Linked DNA regions of Saccharomyces cerevisiae S288C. Changing the gene in region 1 together with any one later gene gives a genetic interaction. Each region holds a gene or a part of one and is shown on either strand. Other genes may lie near its edges.

Region 1 (5,522 bases):
TTCCCTTTCCTTTGGTATATGAATAGTTTCTAATAAACCAGTTTTACACAGAGCAATCTCCTTTCTTGAAGTAAAATCAGAAGTGGTGTCGACTTTTTTCTTTTTGTTTTCTGCATTAGGAAGGCAGTTGGTAGTGTTTGGTGGAGATTGAGAAACCTCCAATGGCTGTACAATTAGCGACTCAGGACGACCCAAAACAGTTTGCGTAGCCATTGGAGTGTTGAGGTCTTGTGAAGATTGTACTACATTTAAATCCGTGTTTGGCCATATTTGTTGAGCTATTTGAATGCTGTCGTGTGGTAAAGTTATATTTGAACGATTATTTGACTCTCTTTCAGATTCTTCCTGATAACGTTGACTGAAATCCATAATCATGTTTTGAGTTTGAAATTGCGTGTTCGGATTTGTGTAGCTACTAACTTTTGGACCTTCTGTGAAACAGACCTTTGTACCGTTATTATTGCCTTGCACCTGGCTTGTTATTGTACTCTGGGCTATTGATGTCCTAGCTGTCCTTAAAACAAAATTAAGGTTCTTTAAAGAAACTACAGTCCTGTTGAACTCAACGTCATTTGGCAAATTCATCTGAAACCTCCTTAACATTCTGGGTCCGAATTCTTCGGAGATATATTTACAAGAGATTATGGGGCTTTTACATGAAAATTGTATTAAATCTTGATTATCCCCCAGCGGCAGGCGAATATTTTCGAGAAGTGTTGAATTATTGAGAACCACATTGATCAGAATTTGTCTAGAGTCCATTAGAAGAACCCGAAATTGGAGAGTGCAGTTAGCGGAAAGGTGTTGCCACTTGTCTATCTGAGGAGGCTCAAGCATTGATTGAAAACCATTTGGAGCGAAGGAGGGAATTGTATACTTGGAGTATTTCTTTATTACAACTGAGCAGTACTCGTACATTTTTCTCTTTTTTTTTATTTTAGTTCTCTCTTTCAAACTTAACTTGACGATATGTTAAAACCTTCTCCTTTGCTTTTTATAAGTTAGCCGCCCACCTTGTAACGAAATTCTCTATTAGTAAAAAAAAGTTGATATTCTTTCAGGAACCCACCAAAATGGGCTTCGTATTTAAGTATGTATTAATAATTTATGTTATTATTATTTAAAATACTGAATACTTTAACAGTCATTTAAGTGTTTATGAATATGCAGACGGTAAACTGAATTTTATTTTATTCCTACAAAATCACATCGTAGAACATATAAGTAGTCATTACATCTATAAAAAAATTAACAGTGGTTTGAAAACATTCGTTGTGCTCGATCAATCATTTGAAAAGAGACTTCTTATTTTTTCTGAATGCTAGATGCTATTTACTTTCATCTTTTATACTCTTAATTTATATTTAGTTTAGGATATAGATTATCCTAGGCTTTAATATTTTAATGGAAAAAAACTACAATAAGATTGAAACAAAGAACTTGGATAAAAAAACAAAACAACTCTGTAGACCAGAGGACTGCCTTATACTTAAAATTTAGAAAGTAAGCGAATAGAATTATAAGGCTCAATTGAAATTCAACTTTTCAATAACAATGGTGTATTTCTATGAATCAAAACCAACTGAGTATTCAACACCTTACCAAATTGTGATGGGCAAAGATAAGTTTGAAAACGATCTACTTATCAAATGGAGCTATAGGGAGTTAAACTATGTTTGGTTTCACGCGGATAAGTACTCAAGTGGTCATGTTTATTTAAAGTTACGCCCAAATGAAAAAACAATCGATGACATACCGCAAGAAGTGATATGTGACTGTCTGCAGCTATGTAAATCAGAATCCATTCAAGGAAACAAAATGCCACAATGCACCATCTTGATAACACCATGGCATAACTTGAGAAAAAACAGGTATATGAATCCCGGTGAAGTATCATTTAAGTCTCTAAGACAATGTAGAAAAATGGAATGCGGAGCACGAGATAACAAAATACTAAACAGACTGGCCAAGACAAGGGTAGAACTATTTAATAATGTGGAAGCTACACTTAACGAAGCAAAGAAGACCAAAAATGGTGATTTTTTTGTAAACTATATTGAGTCGAATAGATCAAATCTTATTGAAGAAGAAAAGCTAAGGAAAGTAGCGAAAAAAAACCAAAAGAAGAAGAACAAACAGTCTAAAGATGAGGTTACTGACGATATGCAACTGGAAGTATGATATCATCTACATAACGTAGACGCTTCAAAATAGAGTACCATTTGTACTTACATCGTGATCACGTTTCTTTTTTCGTTCGAGCCGTGAAAATTTTTTTCCTTTCAGCGAAAAATACAGAAAATAAAATCCAACTGAATTTAGCGATGAGATGATCATTTCTTATAGGGATTGTAGTTGTTTGAATTTGTAGGTAAATAGTTATATCACCTACTCTCCGTTTTCATATACACGGAAATAGCACCATAATGTCGAAAAGGTCTATCGAGGTCAACGAGGAACAAGATAGAGTGGTCTCTGCTAAAACAGAATCTCACTCTGTTCCTGCTATTCCCGCCTCTGAAGAGCAAGATGCTCCCAAGAATGACCTAGAAGAACAATTGAGTGATGAATTTGATAGTGATGGTGAAATTATTGAAATTGATGGCGATGATGAGATTAATGACGAAGATGACCTTAGGAAAAAGCAAGAAGAAGCTGAAACTTTAGTACAAAAGGACCAATCCGAAGGCAACAAAGAAAAGATCCAGGAGCTTTACTTACCCCATATGTCTCGTCCATTAGGGCCAGATGAAGTCCTTGAGGCTGATCCCACTGTTTATGAAATGCTACATAATGTCAATATGCCATGGCCATGCTTGACATTAGATGTCATTCCAGATACACTAGGTTCTGAACGTAGAAACTATCCACAGTCTATTTTGTTGACCACGGCTACTCAATCTTCCAGGAAAAAGGAGAATGAACTAATGGTTCTAGCACTTTCTAATTTAGCGAAAACACTTTTGAAAGACGATAATGAAGGTGAAGATGATGAAGAGGATGATGAAGATGATGTGGATCCAGTCATTGAGAATGAAAATATACCATTGAGAGATACAACCAATAGATTAAAGGTTTCTCCTTTTGCCATTTCTAATCAAGAGGTGTTAACCGCTACAATGAGCGAAAATGGTGATGTTTATATATACAATCTAGCTCCACAAAGCAAAGCTTTTTCCACACCAGGTTATCAGATTCCGAAGTCTGCTAAGCGTCCTATTCACACTGTAAAAAATCATGGGAATGTTGAAGGCTACGGGTTGGATTGGTCACCATTGATCAAGACTGGTGCGTTACTATCAGGTGATTGCTCAGGACAAATATATTTTACCCAAAGGCACACATCGAGATGGGTGACTGATAAACAACCATTTACTGTTTCAAACAATAAATCCATAGAAGATATCCAGTGGTCTCGCACTGAATCCACCGTTTTTGCAACCGCAGGATGTGATGGATATATAAGGATTTGGGACACAAGATCAAAAAAACATAAACCTGCTATCTCTGTTAAAGCTTCTAATACTGACGTAAATGTCATAAGTTGGAGTGATAAAATTGGTTACTTGCTAGCAAGCGGTGACGATAACGGTACATGGGGAGTATGGGATTTAAGACAGTTTACGCCAAGTAATGCTGACGCCGTCCAACCGGTTGCTCAATATGACTTCCATAAGGGAGCCATTACTTCCATTGCATTCAACCCATTAGATGAGTCTATCGTTGCGGTAGGCTCAGAAGATAATACTGTGACTTTGTGGGATTTGTCTGTAGAAGCTGACGATGAGGAAATTAAACAACAGGCCGCCGAAACAAAAGAGCTACAAGAAATTCCACCACAATTATTGTTTGTTCACTGGCAAAAGGAAGTTAAAGATGTCAAATGGCATAAGCAAATCCCAGGTTGTTTAGTAAGTACCGGTACTGACGGTTTGAACGTCTGGAAAACAATCAGTGTCTAAACTGTATAATACTTGGATCATATATTTACACATAGTAGATTATTAATAAACAAACCCATTCAAAGATATAGTAAATATTACTGGCGGATATGAATAATATCTATCATACATATTTGTTACTGTAACGTTAGGCGCTCAGGGAAAGAGTTCCTCTAAAACCTCAAGATTCGAAACAACGTACTTTCTTTCACTCAACTGTAACGTGTCAGTTTGCTTAGTATTGGCTTCCCAAGTGTTTATTGAATTATTATCTATTTTATCAATTGACAGCTTGTATTCGTCCCGCATTGGTTTACTAATCGAGTTTGAAAGAAACCCGTATTTATCATTTCTATCTAACAGTATACCAGTCCAACCGGCAGCTTCTGCCCCTTCGAGATCGTTCTTTAATTCATCTCCGATGTGAAAGCAATGCTGTAGAATTTCCTCCCTGGTGTACTTTTCGAGTAAATGAGGTTGTTTAGATATAATATCGTCAAGCGCATATTGAAATATTGCTCTATCAGGTTTGGCGAGATTAAGCTCATATGATAAATAAATGTGACCGGAAAATGTCTCAAATAATCCGATATTCTTTAATAATTTGTAAAAAATTGGATCAGTATTGCTTACTATTCCTAAGATAACATCAGGATGTCTTGACTTCAAATCCTTTAAAAATTTGATCAAATCTGGATAAACAAAATACGAATCGAAGCCCTCAAACCGCATTAATATTTCATTTATCATCTCATCGGGAATTTCGTTTGGTGCGAAGACGTTCCTAATCAAGATGGACCACCATTGTTCGGGCTTGATACCAGAATATTTTCCGTATTGGGGATAGTCTTCCTTCAGTTTTTTAAAAACGTGTGGAAAATTGTTTGTTAAAGTCGAAGGATTCGCCTTGATACCATATTTACGCCCAACAATGCAGTATTGTTCCATGACGGGAAGTTTTGTGGCGTATAGTGTATTATATGCGTCGAAAGTAATAATTAGTGGCCTTGCCACCCTATGAACTTCAGACCACGCATTTATAGGTATTCTTTTCGGATAGGTCATTGAGCCAATTTCTGTGGATGTTCAAAAGTCTGCTTTTAACACACCTCTATAGACCGTAAAGGACAAAGGTCTCAGCGCTCTCTTTTTCTATTCATTCACCTACACTCTTTCGAGTTACTATGAGCGAAGATAATTGAATCGAGCGTCTTGATAATTTTGAAGAAAAAGAACAACAAACAATACAGGCGTCTTTTTCGCTTTCTTAAGTATTTTAATACTGATGTACAGAGATATATTATACATTACAATTGTACAAAAATATTGCGGGAAAGAAAAATTTCATCAGACTTTCTTGTAATATTTAGTTATTGAAAAAAAGATCATTTTTGGCAAAACAATAAGCATCTGTAATTTCAATCGCCTCGTAGGTACCTTGCAAGCTTGTAATTACCTTGTATTCATGAGAATATATATCAGTGACTTTATGCGTCTCAACAACCTGCGACCTCCTTTTGCCGTGTTTTCCATCAGTCTCTTCTGTCCTTACATAAGTTAGTGAGAATGGTGGGGTACCTT
Region 2 (6,208 bases), on another chromosome or scaffold:
AGGAGCAGCACCAGAAGAAGAGGCAGAAGAGGAGGAGGAGGATGAGGAGGATGAGGAGGATGTAGATGATTCGACGGCTTGAGTGACGGTCTTGGTGTAAAGGTTGGTTGATGAACCTGAACCGTTTGTCAAAGTAAGTGTCTTTGTTGTACTCTTTTCAGAGGTGGTATCTGGTCCTTCGGTGACAACCTTTGTGTAAGTAGCATCACTATTACTGACAACGACAGTTCTAGTGGTACTGTAACTAATGATAGGGTCAGCGGTGTCGGTAACGACCTTAGTGTAAACGTTATTACCGTTAGTAGCAGTAATAGTCTTAGTGGTCATTACACTCGACACAGCTGCTGCCGAGACGGCAGTCATAACTGTAGTAGCTCCGAAAATAGTTGAGAATTTCATTATTATTGTTTTGTGATGGCTTTATGATAGACTTTTTTACAAGGACCGTAAAATTCTGCCTGAAGCACGCACACATTCCTGTTTTATACATATATTGCTAGGTAATATAAAATGCTAATTATACTGCACCCAGTTAGATTCGTATACATCTTATCCGAACTCGATTACAAATTATACAAGTGATCCAATTGGGTGAACCTCGAAACAGTTCTCTGTTCAAGGGTCCGCTGCGGGGCGAGGGGGGGTGCATTTGAACTTAGGGTGCATTGTTTTAAATCCTATACAGGATATGAACTTAGTTAGTTCAATGATCGCTTGATAAATTGCACCCTGCTCTTGAGGGTCATTCTAAGTAATGAAATTTTGGGTGTTTTTGTTTGCCGTCCTCGTTCAATTCGCTTCCGCCGTTCTGGAAGCCCCGTTAACTTCCGTTCCCGCATTCCGATCGCTGTAGGGCTTGGCGTCAGTAGCACCCAGATATTTCACTGTAGGAGCTTACTTCACTCATTTCAATTGGTATACAGAAATCTATGAAATGTAGTTAAAGGCATCACTAATCCGCATCCGCGATACCCGCAACATATACGGAATGTCTATGTAAAAATGTCTCCTGTGACTTTCATTAATCGAATCTTTCTATAAAAAAAAAAATGAGCAAATCACAGTACACCCACTACTCGCATCATCAACGTTGAGTCAGTAGCAAAGTCTCCAGTTATGGTGCCCTCTGGTCCAATTGTAGTAAATTCGTTTGCACGGATGAAAAATAGCTCATGAATGTTCTTGTGTATTTGAATACCATTATGTGCGCGGCTCATACGGATTTAAGTGTGATCTTCCCCTCCGTATTCCCTGTCAATAACTCAAAGTTTTCCCATTTCGGTTTGAAGTTCTTCACAAGGGAGTTTCTTGGCGCAAAGGCATGATGATCGCATTTGCCTCAGTATATTTCGTCATTTCGGTACTGAGAAACGAAATTATTTTGCCTGTTGTCTTGCGTTTTGGCAACCCTTAAGAATTCATCTAATATGTTGGTCCTTAAAGATAAGCGCTTTTGCTTGTAAAATTCTGATTTTTTGTCTTGTGATGGTAATGCTACATTGAACATCAATGCGTATCTGATTTTAAAAAAAAAATTAGAAGTGTGTATAAAATGAAGGTATTATCAGTTGAGCAAATATTACATGTGCTCTTCAAAAGTACCTGCTTTTCATTTAGTGACTATCAGGATGATAACGCCGCTCGTCTTATTTTTAACTGTCGTTTTCTGATAAATGTGTTGAAAACGTGCTAAACAACAATTACCTGTTCTCAAGAGCCTTGAGCCTGGATTGAGAGCAAAAAATCTCTCTTTCATTTTATACAGAATTCGGAAAGAAGATGGATATTTCATGAAAATCTGTTGGTAAAAAGTGGATAAAAATTTTGTATTATTAGTATGTTCTTAGTGGTTAGGTGATAACGAAGCGAGAAAAGCAGGGCAAATGGAATAGAATAGCGTGTAGTTGTTAAAATTTTATTTCACTGAGGCTTATATGCTTACTGAGAAATTTTTTTTTTTTACAAAAAACTTCTTTTTATGTTATACCAGCTGTGGATTACCACAACAATTGGAAAGAACATCAATCCAGAAAAAAAATTCAGTTAATTTGGAGGAAGAGAAATTTAAGTCATGGAACAAGAGTGGGAGACAGTTAAAAAATGCTTCCAAAGATTAGTAGATTGAAAAAGTTTGTGAAAGTCGATCAATTGTCTTCATTGCAGCTAGACATAAATTATGTTTCAGGTCAAAACAATTAAATATATACTTGTGATAGGTAAAATAGTGAGGAAATAAATAAGGTAATTGATTACCAACTTTGGTATTCTTCAAAGTATTCGATTGCCTTTGCAGGCTTCTCTAGAACAAGATTTGCCGTTTGATCCCTTACTTCGTCAACGAAAACAGGAGGCCCACAACAAACCACAGCTAACGATCCATTTAGGTCACCAACTTCATGCAGAAGCTTTTCAACATTGGGTCTTCCATGATGAAAAACAGTACCATCAAATTCAACTGGATTAGGTGACTGTTCTAGGGTAGTTGCCATAACAACACCTTTTCCATCGGCCTTCTCGTCTTGTTGAGAAATTTCCAAACTATCATTAGGAGTTAATGCCGGAACTTCCATTGTATTGTAGATGTGAAGCTGTACATTAAGATCTTCTAGACACATCAGCTCCGGCTTGTAAGCCTCGAGTACGTTAAACCCTCTAACTGCAATCACTAATTTTATGAATTGTTTTCCAGTTGCCGCTGACGTTTTTCCAAGTTTAATGGCGTGTGCAATGGGCCCTGGCAAACCAGTACCTCCCGTAAGTAGCAAGACGTTATCATAATTATTGACTGGAGATGAAGAGCCATATGGACCTTCTATAGCTAGTCTCATAGATGCCTTACCTCCATTGCAACACACATACTTTTTGACAAGTTTTGTTACTCCCTTTTTTTCCTTCAGGATAATAGTCAGCTCACCATCTTTGATAATTGAATCTAAGACTGTGAAAGGATGTGACTGCCAAAAATACAGGTGGTGTAGGAATGAAACGAAAACATACTGTCCTGGTTTGGCTTTCCATAGCCTTACTGGTCGTTTGACTGTGACTCGAATGATGTCATCGCCAACTAACTGTAAGGAAGCCTTAGGGAAACCGAAATAAGATACTCTAACAATTCGAATTAGCCTATCAATAGTCCAGATAGCAATAGCAGCGTATATCCACTCAATCCCACTCAATTCTACGACGTGCTCCCAACACGTATAAAAGAACAATGCGCCAAGCACAATATGGAGAAATAAGAAGGCTTCATAGAAAAACTTTCTGAACATTGCCAAAGAAAAAAACACCATAACACCAACTATACAAAGAGCAGCTACTCCAAATTGCCAATATGTCTCTTCCTTGCTTGCTGCCCAATCTTTGTAGAATACGGAATAACTGGTATAAGCAGCGCCATGAATCACAGCATCTAAAAACATCATTCTTCCCAACCACTTATGAAACATTATGAAAGAGGTATATTTTACTCCAGAAATGAATTCTAGAAAATTGTTCCTTCCTGCGAAAAGAGCTATTAGGGGAAAATGTGCAAATGCCAGGACACCACTTCTATCTGCCACGTATCGAGCAATCTGTTCTCTACGAGAGTCGAAAATTAAGTTGTAAGGATCATATTGATACCCGTATGCCAGAAAAACTGTATGAAGCACGAGGTATCCAAGTATAATGACGCCTTCAGATCGTGTGGGAAGGAAGCCTGTAAAAATTTTAAGGTAAGAAAAGCTCGACGCATGTTTACCCCAGATAGTAGGTATTGTCAAATATCTTCTCACATATCTTACAAGTCTTTGTTTAAATAAGGCAGTTTTAAACGGAGTGTAACTTAGATAATGGAGTATGCTGGCAAGAATCATAACACCTACAAAATAGGCGCAAATAATACCACCATAAGTATGACCAATGTCGTAGTTGGCGTAGAAACCATGGTAAGAATAATAATAGTTTTCTCTCACTTGGGCATCCATCTCGATTGGATACGTAAGATTCGCGCTACCTTCAGAATACTGTATTATGTATGTTGTTCCATTATTCAGCATATTATAGAAATCTGCATTAGTCATATTCTGAAGGTTATCAGTGTAATATGCGCAGTCTTCTTTGATAGCAGCAAAGGTTTTTTCAAAGGTTCTATTGGAATAACCCTTTTCATTCAATGATTCGTAAATACAATACAACATTGACTGTAATGCCGGTTCATATGTACATGCTGGTGAGGAATATAAATCGTCACTACTATACTCCCAGGTTACTTCGCCGAGAACTCCCATGCAGGCATCTGTCAAAACCAGTGGTAACTTGCCGTACATTTTTGTCTTAGCAGGGGAGGCGCTTGCTCCTGACAAGCAGCATAACAAAATAGAACCACAAAGGAGGACCCAATACATTGTTTTCCTTGTGTCTTATAATTTTTGAATTGAGAACGTTCATCAGCAATTGAAGTTAATCATTCTCTTGCCACCTTATATAAGTTGCGACGAATCTTTTAATATAAACAATTGATCAAATTCTGTACATCTATGTCAAAGATGAAAGCTTCTGACAGCCAAAAAAAAGAGTCTTTCATCGCCAACGAATCAGTAGCTTTTGTTAGAATTAAGAAGTTTGGCTTTTCGCCAATTCTTTGAGATGAGGTACACCCACATTCCACGTAAAACTCAAATATCGGTCCAGGAAAATTCTCGAGTTCAATCACGTCACCAATAGTAATAATAATTGTGCTTCTCTTGACACTCGCAAGGGACTTATTCTTTACCATTCAAATTTTTCTCCTATTATACACCCGAAATAAAGGCAAAATGAGATATGGGTGCATTTTACAAAAGAGGTTGCAACTATCCCGTTCGCAGTGTAAACTATGATCTAGGGTCAACAAAGCGGTTAATTTGTCATAGTTCTTTGCAGCTTTTAATTCTCTGATATCTTTCCCTCAAAGTGTATTGTTTTCGTAACTTTAGATTTTATCTAAATGTTTCATTTCCGGCGCATTATTAGCAAAAGGGTGCTGTCTCCCTAGCTGCATTCCCAGACCGGAGGCACAGAATTCTGTAGTGATACTCTGTCATTACTTACTGCAGAAAAAGTTAAGTAGCCGCTCAGTACCTCTTAATTGAAATGAAAAATTTTCGTCGCTTATTTCCTGCTTTGTTTTTGAGTACGTTTCCAATCATTTTCTGGCGTACTTCGTGAAAGGGTAAAATTAAAATACTGAAAGCATTCATATGCTGATATAGTGCAGAAAAGCAATGAATGCTAACAACTTCCCGGATATCTGAGCAACTGGATTCGATCAGAAAAGGCACTTTTTACAGACGTACGTCAAAGCTTTTATCTTTTGGCTATCTTCGCCAACTCTATAAAAGGCTGTACTCCTATAATTAACTGATAAATAATTCCCGAATCATACTAGTATTTATTTTCTATGAGTTGTGCTAAACAACGACTTTTTGAAATGCAATATGCTGAAAAAATCACTTTTTAGTCGCAAAGTCAATTTTGGGTGATCGAGGGTTTTATCTTTTTATGCACATGTAATTCTTCCCAAGAAATAGGAATTTCTTCCCAGATGATATTTTCCAACACTGCTTCGTAGTTATAATAATCTTGCAATGCCAACCGTAAAATAGTAACGCATTTCTAGAAGAATTTCGCAATTCATTTTATATTTTTTAATCAAATGAGAAAAAAGTATAACGATTAAAAACTCTCTAACCATGTATTGGAAAAAGATGTTGCAACTTATGTAATATTCCTTGGCAGGGTTTCCGGGGCCTGTGCGCAACTTTAACGCCATTTTATGCAGGCCGAGCATTCTAAGCCTCAAAAAAAGTTGTATCTCCGAACCTGCCAATCTTTACTGTCGTACCAACCAAGGGTATGAAAAAAGCAAATAAGGCCTACAGCTTATTCAGCTTAGTATACTTCATCAGATTTATGATAAAATTTTTTTGCACTGATCCATCATTTTTTTATGGAACTGGTGGAGGAAGCTAGTTAAACCGCGAATTAAGTTAGGCGATGCGATGCGCCTACGTATTTTCAAAGTTTTACTGAAATTGGCTCAAAGCATAATTGTGATTGGAATGGGAAGCAATAAAAAAATGACTTTTGAAGTTTTCAGTTTGAATGACTTTCGATTAAATGTTTTTATTGATAATTGAGCGAAAGTGGTAGAAAGTATGTACTGGCTATTTTTCTTCCAAATATAGCC
Region 3 (4,821 bases), on another chromosome or scaffold:
TTTTGCTGTTCCTTTTTCAATTTTCCTGCTGCCATCACAGATACACTTGAGGGTTTCTTTCTCTAGCTTCAGATTCATTGTTGACTGGTGTTATTATACACAGTGCGCTGCCATTATTATCGTTCTTCTATTTCTAGCCGAAGCGCCTTAAAAAAAAAAAGTGTCCACTTTGGGAAACTCGCCTTTACGACGAAAAAGTCAAACTTGCGTTCTACGAAAGAGAAGAATTCCTTTTTTGGGTTAGGTGGCGAAAAATAAAGGTAGTTAAAAGTAATCCTGGCTGGTCTATGTGAATAGGGAAGAGATAATGATGTAGTTTTCAATAGATAGTAACACATACCATAGCAAGGGAGGAAAAAATATCAAAGTGATACTGTAAAATATAATAAAAATGTTTTCTGGCTTTAGTTCTTTTGGCGGCGGAAATGGTTTTGTAAATATGCCTCAAACGTTTGAGGAGTTCTTTAGATGCTACCCTATAGCTATGATGAATGATAGAATACGGAAGGATGACGCAAACTTCGGCGGGAAAATATTCCTGCCACCAAGTGCTCTAAGCAAACTATCCATGTTGAACATAAGATACCCCATGCTTTTTAAACTAACTGCCAATGAAACTGGACGTGTGACACATGGAGGTGTTTTAGAATTTATTGCTGAAGAGGGCAGAGTTTACTTACCACAATGGATGATGGAAACTTTGGGTATACAGCCAGGATCTCTACTGCAAATTTCATCTACTGATGTACCTCTGGGCCAGTTTGTGAAGTTAGAACCTCAGTCTGTAGATTTCTTGGATATTTCCGACCCCAAAGCAGTTTTGGAAAACGTACTGAGGAATTTCTCGACTTTGACCGTGGACGATGTTATTGAGATTAGTTACAATGGTAAAACTTTCAAAATTAAGATCTTAGAAGTCAAACCAGAATCATCATCGAAGAGTATATGTGTCATTGAAACAGATTTAGTAACAGATTTTGCTCCACCTGTAGGATATGTGGAACCGGATTACAAAGCGCTGAAAGCTCAGCAAGATAAAGAAAAAAAGAATTCTTTTGGTAAGGGCCAAGTTTTGGATCCCTCGGTGCTTGGCCAGGGATCGATGTCCACAAGAATCGACTATGCGGGTATCGCTAACAGTAGCAGAAACAAACTATCTAAATTTGTAGGTCAGGGACAAAACATATCTGGTAAAGCTCCGAAAGCGGAGCCCAAGCAAGATATAAAAGATATGAAGATAACGTTTGATGGCGAGCCCGCCAAGCTAGATCTGCCTGAAGGCCAATTATTCTTTGGTTTCCCAATGGTCCTACCGAAAGAAGACGAAGAAAGTGCCGCTGGTAGCAAATCCAGTGAACAAAATTTCCAAGGCCAAGGGATCTCACTAAGGAAGAGCAATAAGAGAAAAACGAAAAGTGACCATGATTCGTCCAAGTCCAAGGCTCCCAAAAGCCCGGAAGTAATCGAAATTGACTAAAAGATATATACTAGTATACAACAATATAGTGTCTTTGACAGATATATAGAGCATTTTCAAGTTAACAGATCTTAGAATCCAAGTATCTTATGCATCGCATTAGCTCTGCTGCATTTGCTGTTCGTTTAGTAAAAATAATTACGTGCGCGGTTGCGCGATATTTCCCTTGCTTAATGCCGAAGTAATTCTCTTCGTTTACCCATACTCGAATCTATTGTGTTGTTGAAAAATAAAAAAAAAAAGAACCAGGTTATATAATTGTGAGTTGATCAGTATATAAATGAGAGAAAAGAAGTTTCTATTGTTCCAAATTATATCCAAGCTGATTTTTTAACCCTTACCTCACGAAAAGCAAGTTTAAGACAAACACTCATAAGAATCCTTACATATACTAAAAAACAAATGCAAGTCTCCCCAGCTATTGTAAAAGGTATCGCAGTCTCATCATTAGGTTTATACGCCGGTATTTTAACTTCATCTACCGTGATTTCTATTACCACCCCAATAAATGTTCTAACTCAACATTTGAAGAATGTTTTGTGCACATTAGGATGCTGGAGCACCGTTTTAGGTGGTTTAGCTACTGGTGCCTTTGGACTCAGCTACTATCTAGCTGCACCAGGAGAAAGACCAAACTACCTTTTGTGCGGACTTGGTGTCGCCCCATTATCTGCAGCCTACCTATACTTAGTATCACTGTTCAATCACAAGCTAGCCCCAAAATGCACACGTGACCAAAATGATTTAGAAAAGCAAAAGGATGAAAAATTACCCCAACATCACCCGGAAGTCAAAGATGGGGAAGCTGCATGCCCATTCTCAAAGATGAACAACGCCAAAACATTAAAACCTGAATCCGAAAGAAGCGTAAAATGTCACTCATACATGTCATTGCACATGAGCATTGTAACCGGTATAACAATTTTTACCTTTGGTAAGTGTATCCTAGATGGATTCAAAGCATGAACGACGAAGCACGTGACACGTTCCCTTCAAACATCACAATTATTTAAGCGAGACTAATATATATGTTTAGCGAAAAAAAAGGCCAAAAAAACTAGTAAATATACAAAGCAGAGTATTTTTGGCTCTTGTCCACATTGGATAAGAGAATATTTATTTTTCACACAGAAAAAAAAGTTATATACGTATCTCTAAGAAAGTCAAAGACAAATTACGTAGAATGTGATTCATTCCCATTTCGCCCGTACACTCTCTGTCTCTGTCTCTGTCCCAAACTTCCCTTCCTATACGTATTCATAATCTGCTTAAACGTCAACAGTAGTTTCGGAACATCTTCATACGTAGGGAATACGACTTTTTTCTTTTCACCTGCAGCTTGAGCCAAACTAAAACTGGGATCCGGATAAACTATTAATAAAGGATCGCAAAGTCCATACGCCAGTTTAATGGGAATGAAATGATATTGCGAAGTGACGTCAAGAATCGACTTTAAGCTATATCCGAAGTCAAGAAAGCCGAACCTTACATGCGGTCGGAAAGCAAACGAGGAGATTAGATTGGTTTTCATATCCGCTAAATTTTCTTTTGATTTTACTTTGGCTTAATCTAATGCATGTATATCGGAAGAAGCAACCGATCTGGCCCAGTTGAGTCGTGCTACCTTAGTCATGCCCAGGAAAACCGGATTCCTTCTTTTCATTATGACATCCGTTTAGGTCAATAGGCTTTTTTTTCTCTCGCCCGTGCCTCTCCGTGTTCGATGAATGTGCAGCTTGCCTCCGAGCGGGCGAGCCACCTCGAGCGGGTGACGAAATAGTGGAAAAGAAACGGGGAAGCAAAACTGTGCTGTTCTGGCCCGCAGCGGACGAACGTCATTAAAGGCGCTCCATTTCTGTCGTGAGGGTCTTTCGGTGCGGTGGTGAGGCTGCGTAAACAAGCTTGCTCTTCATACCCCTCCCGTGGAGCTAGTTCGGAAGGACTATTGGCGCATCTTCTGTTGAGAGGTTCCGTAATTCTCCGTAACGTCCCGTTCACCACTTTGCATGTGCTCTCACGTACGGCCGTCTCTTTTCGGCCTTCGGCCCGTTCCGATTTTTGTACCCCTTACGTGCTTTGAATTCTAGAAGGCATCTCCTCTCCGATGGCTTGGTACAGGGAGCACTAGGGAAATTGCACATGGAAGTATCTGGAATACAAAGTTTTTGAAAAGAAAAGCCGAGCGTAATATTGGGACAATACCCAGTTCTCAGCCTTTTCAGCGCGGGTATGAGACAGCTTGCAACAGGTAAAAGGAAGTTAGAAGGGTTAGGTGAAGGGAACGATGATGCTGCCTGAGAACAAAAATGCAGCTTCATGTTACATACAATAAAGGAAGGATAATTAAGGGGACCATGCAATAAGGGACAACTTAATTTTGGAAAAATCGGAGCTTAGTTGCATCTACCTACTAATACTTTCCCCAAAGAATAATAATACGAGTACAATACATATATATATATATATATAATATACACATGTAAGTGATGACTATTCTTAATACAAAAAAATTTCCCTTTTATAATAACTATTCTTAGCATTAAATAACCCGTTACTGACAAAAAGCATATAACATAGGACTCAAGATCGACTCTCATACCCTCCGAATCAAATTCTCACTCGTATACGCAATCATTTAAATAAGCACATCATTATCAGCATATACCGAATAATAAAAAGCAAAAATGTATACAAAACTAAGATCTATACAATCAGGAACATTTAGCACAGTTTATAAAGCATGGAGTACTACACATAACCGCTACGTCGCTTTAAAGATTACTCCTAAATACAAAACTTCAGAAGCCAACATGAAGAACGAGTATGATGTAATGAAGATTTTGAGTTCTTGTAATCCTCACCCCAACATCTGTTCGATGCTCGACTTTTACACGGATGACTCGTACTACATCATGGTGCTAGAATACTGCGAATGTGGTGATCTTTATGACTTTCTAGATATTGCTAAGAGTCAAGGTAGCCCGTCGTCTCCATCTTTGATTCAAATTGATATGCAAAAGATAATCAAACAACTGTGCTCAGCAATCAGCTTTGCTCACAGCTTGGGTATTGCTCATCGTGATATCAAACCAGAAAATATTTTGCTAACGATAAATGGTGACATCAAGTTGGCAGACTGGGGTCACGCTATCCAATCCCCTAAATCTAACGACTTCCAGATTGGTACCGATAATTACAGGGCGCCAGAAACTTTCTCTGGCCGCGTTAGTAACTCTTGTTTTAAGAAGAATTTCGATCGGTCATCGGCTCCATTGTATAACACATACCAAGCTGACTATTGGTCATTGGGTGCCACCATATTTTATCTGATGTTCGGCGATTGC
Region 4 (5,207 bases), on another chromosome or scaffold:
TATTGTCCCTACGCTATCATGGGACCTGTGGCACATACCAATTTTTATGACTATAGGGTTTTTGGAAAATCTGTGGACGATAACGTTGTATGTTATGGAACACTAAGTACAACATTAGAAGGAAAAATGGTAGAAACGGAAACAAACCCTCATTTGAACATAGAGAAGAAGCAGGGTATGTTATGTATTCGTGGTTTTAGCATAGGTAAACCAGTAGAGTCCGATCGTTTAGAGAAAGCTTTGCATTTAGCTGAAAGGTTTGGAGGAGGTGAAGGATGGATGCCTCTAGTTGGCGTTTTTGGACTATTTGGCCAAGACGGTTGCTTATACATCTATAATCAATGAGCATTATCTATCGCTTTATTATTTATTATTTATTATTATCATTATTATTATTATCATTATTATTATTACTACCAATACCTTCTATATCCCTGTGATCAGCTAAAATGATTCAAATAACTGTCATTTTAATCGTACATTTTATATTAGGCCTAATGTGCTGACGATCAGTCATATTTCAAATGGCCATCAACACAGTTCCAAAAGTCTGTGATATATTTTGTTTGTTCGTCACTTTCGTTATTAATTGTTCCCCTCACAGCCAAATATGTCCTATTGTCGACATCAATACTCCATTCACCTGGATTGGCACCTACTACACGACCGCCCACTTCTTTCAAAATACACCATCCAGCACACACGTCCCACGAATAGCAACCACCATCCCAATAACTATCAAGGTACCCCATAGCAATATATGCCATTGTCATTGCAGATGATCCTAAATTTCTGAATCCATGAACAAAACCGTAATCACATGATAGTAATTTTTCATATGTGGCCATTTTTGTCTGAAAATTCTTTCCCTCTCTAGCGGAACCTGGCTGTAATGCCACTACGGATTTATTTAGTATTAGAGAACCCATAGATTCCAATTTTGATTTATAGTCATAGTCCTTGTTGTTAACTCTCATCCCATTTCCTTTAGAAGCGGATACCAGAAGATTAATGTGAGGATTATATATAACGCCTACTACGGGCTCTTTGTTTACTGTGAGCCCAAGAGAGGTACAGCTAAATGGGAAATCATGAACAAAGTTTGTAGTCCCATCAATTGGATCAATAATAAAGGTAGGATCATCAGTAATCACGGTCTCCCCTTTCACATAACTTTCCTCTCCAATAAACTTGAAAGTTGGATATTGGGTTTTTACCGATTCCCAAATTAACTTTTCGACCTGTTTATCGATAGCAGTTACAATATCAACGCTCCTGGAGCCAGTCTTCAAGTCATAATCCTTTTGAGTGCCGGACTTGGATTTGATGATTGGTCCTACTTTTTCAGTAGCCAGTTCACAGAGGAATTTCTCGATAGAAGCTAGATCAATGGTCATGGTATATGTGTATATGCGTGTACCAGCTGTTGATTTCCTTATTCATCCAAAAAAAAGAAAACACTGGGGTTATTTAACAAGCAGTTAAATGTGAAGTAAGAGATAAAAGACCTATATTAATACCATTTTTGGAAAAGCAACGTGCGCAACAATGAAAGTCACTCGATGCATCCATTATTCAAAAAAAAGTTTTTTTTTTTTTTCCATACATCATCAGATGAAAAAATCTCGCTATGACGCACGCCAGTCAATATTCACTCAGTTCTTCCGAAAGGAAGCAGAAGAAAGTTCTCTATACTTGGAAATGTGTCAATGAAGATGTTATCAGATTCATTTTCTGCTAGCTACTATATTTCTACATAAGCAAGTAGTAATCTCTTTATTAATTACACGTGGTTTTGACTCATTGGCATATGTATATATTTGTGTTGTAGGTGCTCGTGAAAAAAAAAAGCTATTGATCATACTCATGCTCACGCAAGTAGGTAGCAACGATTTCACGATCTCTGCTCACCCATTGCGCCTTGGATCTAATAGTGTCTAAGGCTTGAGCCAGGGTTTGATCAAAACCTTTAGTGACCTTTCTACTATAGAACGCACTAATTTTTTCAAGGGCTTCAAAAGAGGTAAAATTAGTTAAACCCAATGTCAACACGCCACCCAACACAGGCGAGCCTGGCTGTAATCTCTTAGCAATTTCGTCCCAGTGTTCTTGCATCCAAGCCCATAACCTTTCAATACCCTTCTTATGAACTCTAATGCCTTGCATTGGGATGTAAAAATCTTGATTCAAAACTGTACCATCTAGCAGATAAGACAATGTCCTTTCTAAAAGTTCTTTGTCTTCAAATCTGCCCAAAGCTCTCAAAGCGATAATCTTTTCTTCTGACGAAACAGGGTTTTGATAGATGTTGAAAATCTTTTCGTAATTGTTTTCTCCGCCAAGTCTGGCAACGGTGTTGAAAACAACTGCCTTGAACAGTGCAGGTATGGCCTGTTTGTTCCCATTGGCGTATTCCTCAAACATTTCTACCGCAATCGATTGCATTTTTTCATTGCCAGAAGTGCATGCGGCACTGAAAAGGGTCACTTTTAAACGTTGGATAGCAAAGGAGTCGTCTTCGCCAATATTCCACCCCAATTCAGAAAGTTTGTTAAGTACTAGATCCAAAGTAAATTTATCTAGAGCATTCAATATATCCTCTGGTTCGAAGACCCAAGTAGATTTCAGAGCGGATAAACTATTAATGATTTGTTCCCAAACAACAAATGAATCCTCGTTTTTCCAATTAGAAATTAAATTCAAGAAGTTAGTAGTAGAGGTATAGCCAGATGCAGAAAGGGCTTTTGCATCTGCGACTAAGCCAACACGATCCTCTACGGATAATAAATTTGCCTGTTTGGATAGCTTAGCCCATCTTTCGTCAGAATAAGAGGTAATGAAAATACCAGATTGGTCACCATTAATCTTGAAGAACTCTTCATTCTTTAATTCGAAAGTAGCAGATTTTTCGTTCAATACCAATGTGTTATCGATACCTGTACTGTCTTTCAAAGCTAACAAAATGGGGTATATGGTTGTATCTTCCTCTTCTTTAACATCACCGGTACTTAAATAACGGTGTTGAGTTAATGTGATTTTGTTCTTGTGTTCCTTGACAGATAACACTGGAAAACCAACACGTTTTGTCCAGATGTTCATCACCGAACAAACGTCCTTGCCAGAGGCATCTGCTAAGGCGTCCCACAAATCTCCGGTCTTTGCATTACCGTATTTGAATTTATTCAGGTATTGGGACACACCTTTAATAAAAGTCTCTTCACCCAACCATTTGGAAATCATCCTCAATAAAGAAGATCCTTTAGAATAAGAAATAGCATCAAAAATTTGATTGATTTCGTCCGCATTATTAACGGGAACTTCAATTGGATGGGAAGATCTTAATGAATCTAAATTTAGAGCACGTTGTAAATTGTCAGTAACATATTGCTCCCAAACTTTCCATTCTGGTTGAAACTTGTTGCAAGAGTACCAAGACATCCAAGTGGCAAAACCTTCATTCAACCATAAGCCTTCCCACCAATCCATGGTGACCAAGTTGCCGAACCATTGGTGGGCTAGTTCATGCTGAATAACCTCAGCAACTCTTTGAATGCGATCTAAACTCGAATTTTCTATGTCTAATAACAAATCAATAACTCTATAAGTCACTAGCCCCCAGTTTTCCATAGCACCAGCAGAAAACTCATGAACTGCCACCATATCCATCTTTGGCAATGGATATTCTATGTTGAAGGTGTCCTCAAAGAATCTCAAGGTCCTAGCAGCTAAATTGGCTGCAAACTGACCAAATTTTTCGTCCCCTGGGGTAGAATAAACTCTTACTGGAATACGGAAATTATTGCTTTCCACGTATCTCAGGTCAGCTACAATAAATGCTACTAAGTACGTAGACATCTTTGGAGTCGTGTTAAAAGTTGTATATTTCTTACCCTCTTTGATTGTTTCATTCCTGACATCCATGTTGGACAAATGAGTCAGAAACGATTCAGAGACCAAAGTTACTGCAAAAGTCGCCTTCAAATTTGGTTCGTCAAAACAAGGAAAGGCTCTTCTAGCATCTGTGGCTTCCATCTGAGTAGTAGCCATGTACTTCGTCTCCCCTGTGACTTTATCCGTATACTTAGCCCTGTAAAATCCCGCCATCTGATCATTTAGAATACCGGAAAAGATAATTTCTAACTTCGCAGAAGGTCCTAGGTTTTCAAAAGTTCCATTAGGAAAGACAAGAGTAGCTTTTTGTTGGTTTTCGTTTTTGTTAACTTCAATGGCATTGACACCCTCAATACGTGCAGAATGGAAATCTATTTCTAAGTAATTTATTTGCACAGAGTTTATCGAATGATCATTAATCTGCAGGTCAATTTTTAATGACCCTTCAAACGTAAAAGCACGGAAATTAGGTTCTAGTGTAATGTCATAATGCAATGGGGTAACGTTGTTTGGCAGTACTTCACGGGACATGGTATTAGCTGAGAGGGCAATTTGGCTTGCTTGAACAGGAACCCTCAAAGAAAAATCACGAATTGAATAAGCTTCCCTGAAGATAATTCTAAATGATTAGCTAAGATTACTCATAAAGTCAAAAGTTTGATCGCTAACAAAAGGGAAAAAAACGGAAAAAAAATAAAAAAATGTGTCAAACTCCCACAGCCAAGTCCAAGAGTACGAAAAAAAACTTTCACAACGAGTTCAAAAAATGTGGGATGAAGACTCCCGTTTTTCACCGCCTAGAAAACAGCGTTTGCTGAGAAAAAAAATAAATCATCGAGAAGAAGTATGTCATCATAGGATGTTCCCATTGTAAGGTGATGTGTAACATACTCGAACAAAGAATGTATAGAGCTGAATATTTCTCCTTTAAATTTCAAAGAAAATGAGAAGGAAAATCTCAAACAGAAACTTCGTTCTTTTTCTCAAGTAAGCAAAAGCTTATTGAGACAAAGCGGAATAACTACGATATTAATAACGTTGATGAAGCTCGAACAAAGTTAGCGTCGGTTATGCTTGCCTATATAAAGATATATTTGCCTTACATTTTCGTTGAACGTAGAATGATTTTTGCTTTTAATAAATTTTTTGTTGTTCTTTCAGTGCTTCTTCAACTTTGATACGAAAGCAAGTGCATTAGTACAACAAGAACTGGCCACAACTATACTATACTCATTTTTTCTTGCCCGTGTTTTAAATGTTTTCATCCACAGCATTTGATGGGATGATTGGAAGTGAGACGTTCGAGAAAATCCATA

The links.
Region 2: mutations in RRB1 (region 1) and FRE3 together harm fitness more than expected from each alone (negative genetic interaction), as found in Saccharomyces cerevisiae (one large-scale study listed by BioGRID).
Region 3: mutations in RRB1 (region 1) and SCM4 together harm fitness more than expected from each alone (negative genetic interaction), as found in Saccharomyces cerevisiae (one large-scale study listed by BioGRID).
Region 4: mutations in RRB1 (region 1) and INM1 together harm fitness more than expected from each alone (negative genetic interaction), as found in Saccharomyces cerevisiae (one large-scale study listed by BioGRID).

The regions. Positions count from the first base shown.
Region 1 is NC_001145.3:531,603-537,124, reverse strand, and holds RRB1 (ribosome biosynthesis protein RRB1), read left to right. Parts: upstream 1-2,426; coding exon 2,427-3,962; downstream 3,963-5,522. Other genes in the region: REC114 (Rec114p), read right to left, coding at 1-918; JLP2 (Jlp2p), read left to right, coding at 1,555-2,181; DPI35 (Dpi35p), read right to left, coding at 4,098-5,006; POM152 (Pom152p), read right to left, coding at 5,308-5,522.
Region 2 is NC_001147.6:1,053,722-1,059,929, reverse strand, and holds FRE3 (ferric-chelate reductase), read right to left. Parts: upstream 4,386-6,208; coding exon 2,250-4,385; downstream 1-2,249. Other genes in the region: FIT2 (Fit2p), read right to left, coding at 1-399; YOR381W-A (uncharacterized protein), read right to left, coding at 1,340-1,507. UniProt on the Saccharomyces cerevisiae protein: Siderophore-iron reductase responsible for reducing extracellular iron prior to import. Catalyzes the reductive uptake of Fe(3+) bound to di- and trihydroxamate siderophores.
Region 3 is NC_001139.9:589,435-594,255, forward strand, and holds SCM4 (Scm4p), read left to right. Parts: upstream 1-1,879; coding exon 1,880-2,443; downstream 2,444-4,821. Other genes in the region: transcription factor TFIIIC subunit TFC4, read right to left, coding at 1-35; polyubiquitin-binding protein UFD1, read left to right, coding at 392-1,477; YGR050C (uncharacterized protein), read right to left, coding at 2,652-3,008; protein kinase FMP48, read left to right, coding at 4,162-4,821.
Region 4 is NC_001140.6:196,889-202,095, forward strand, and holds INM1 (inositol monophosphate 1-phosphatase INM1), read right to left. Parts: upstream 1,398-5,207; coding exon 510-1,397; downstream 1-509. Other genes in the region: DDE1 (Dde1p), read left to right, coding at 1-345; AAP1 (arginine/alanine aminopeptidase), read right to left, coding at 1,852-4,422. UniProt on the Saccharomyces cerevisiae protein: Responsible for the provision of inositol required for synthesis of phosphatidylinositol and polyphosphoinositides.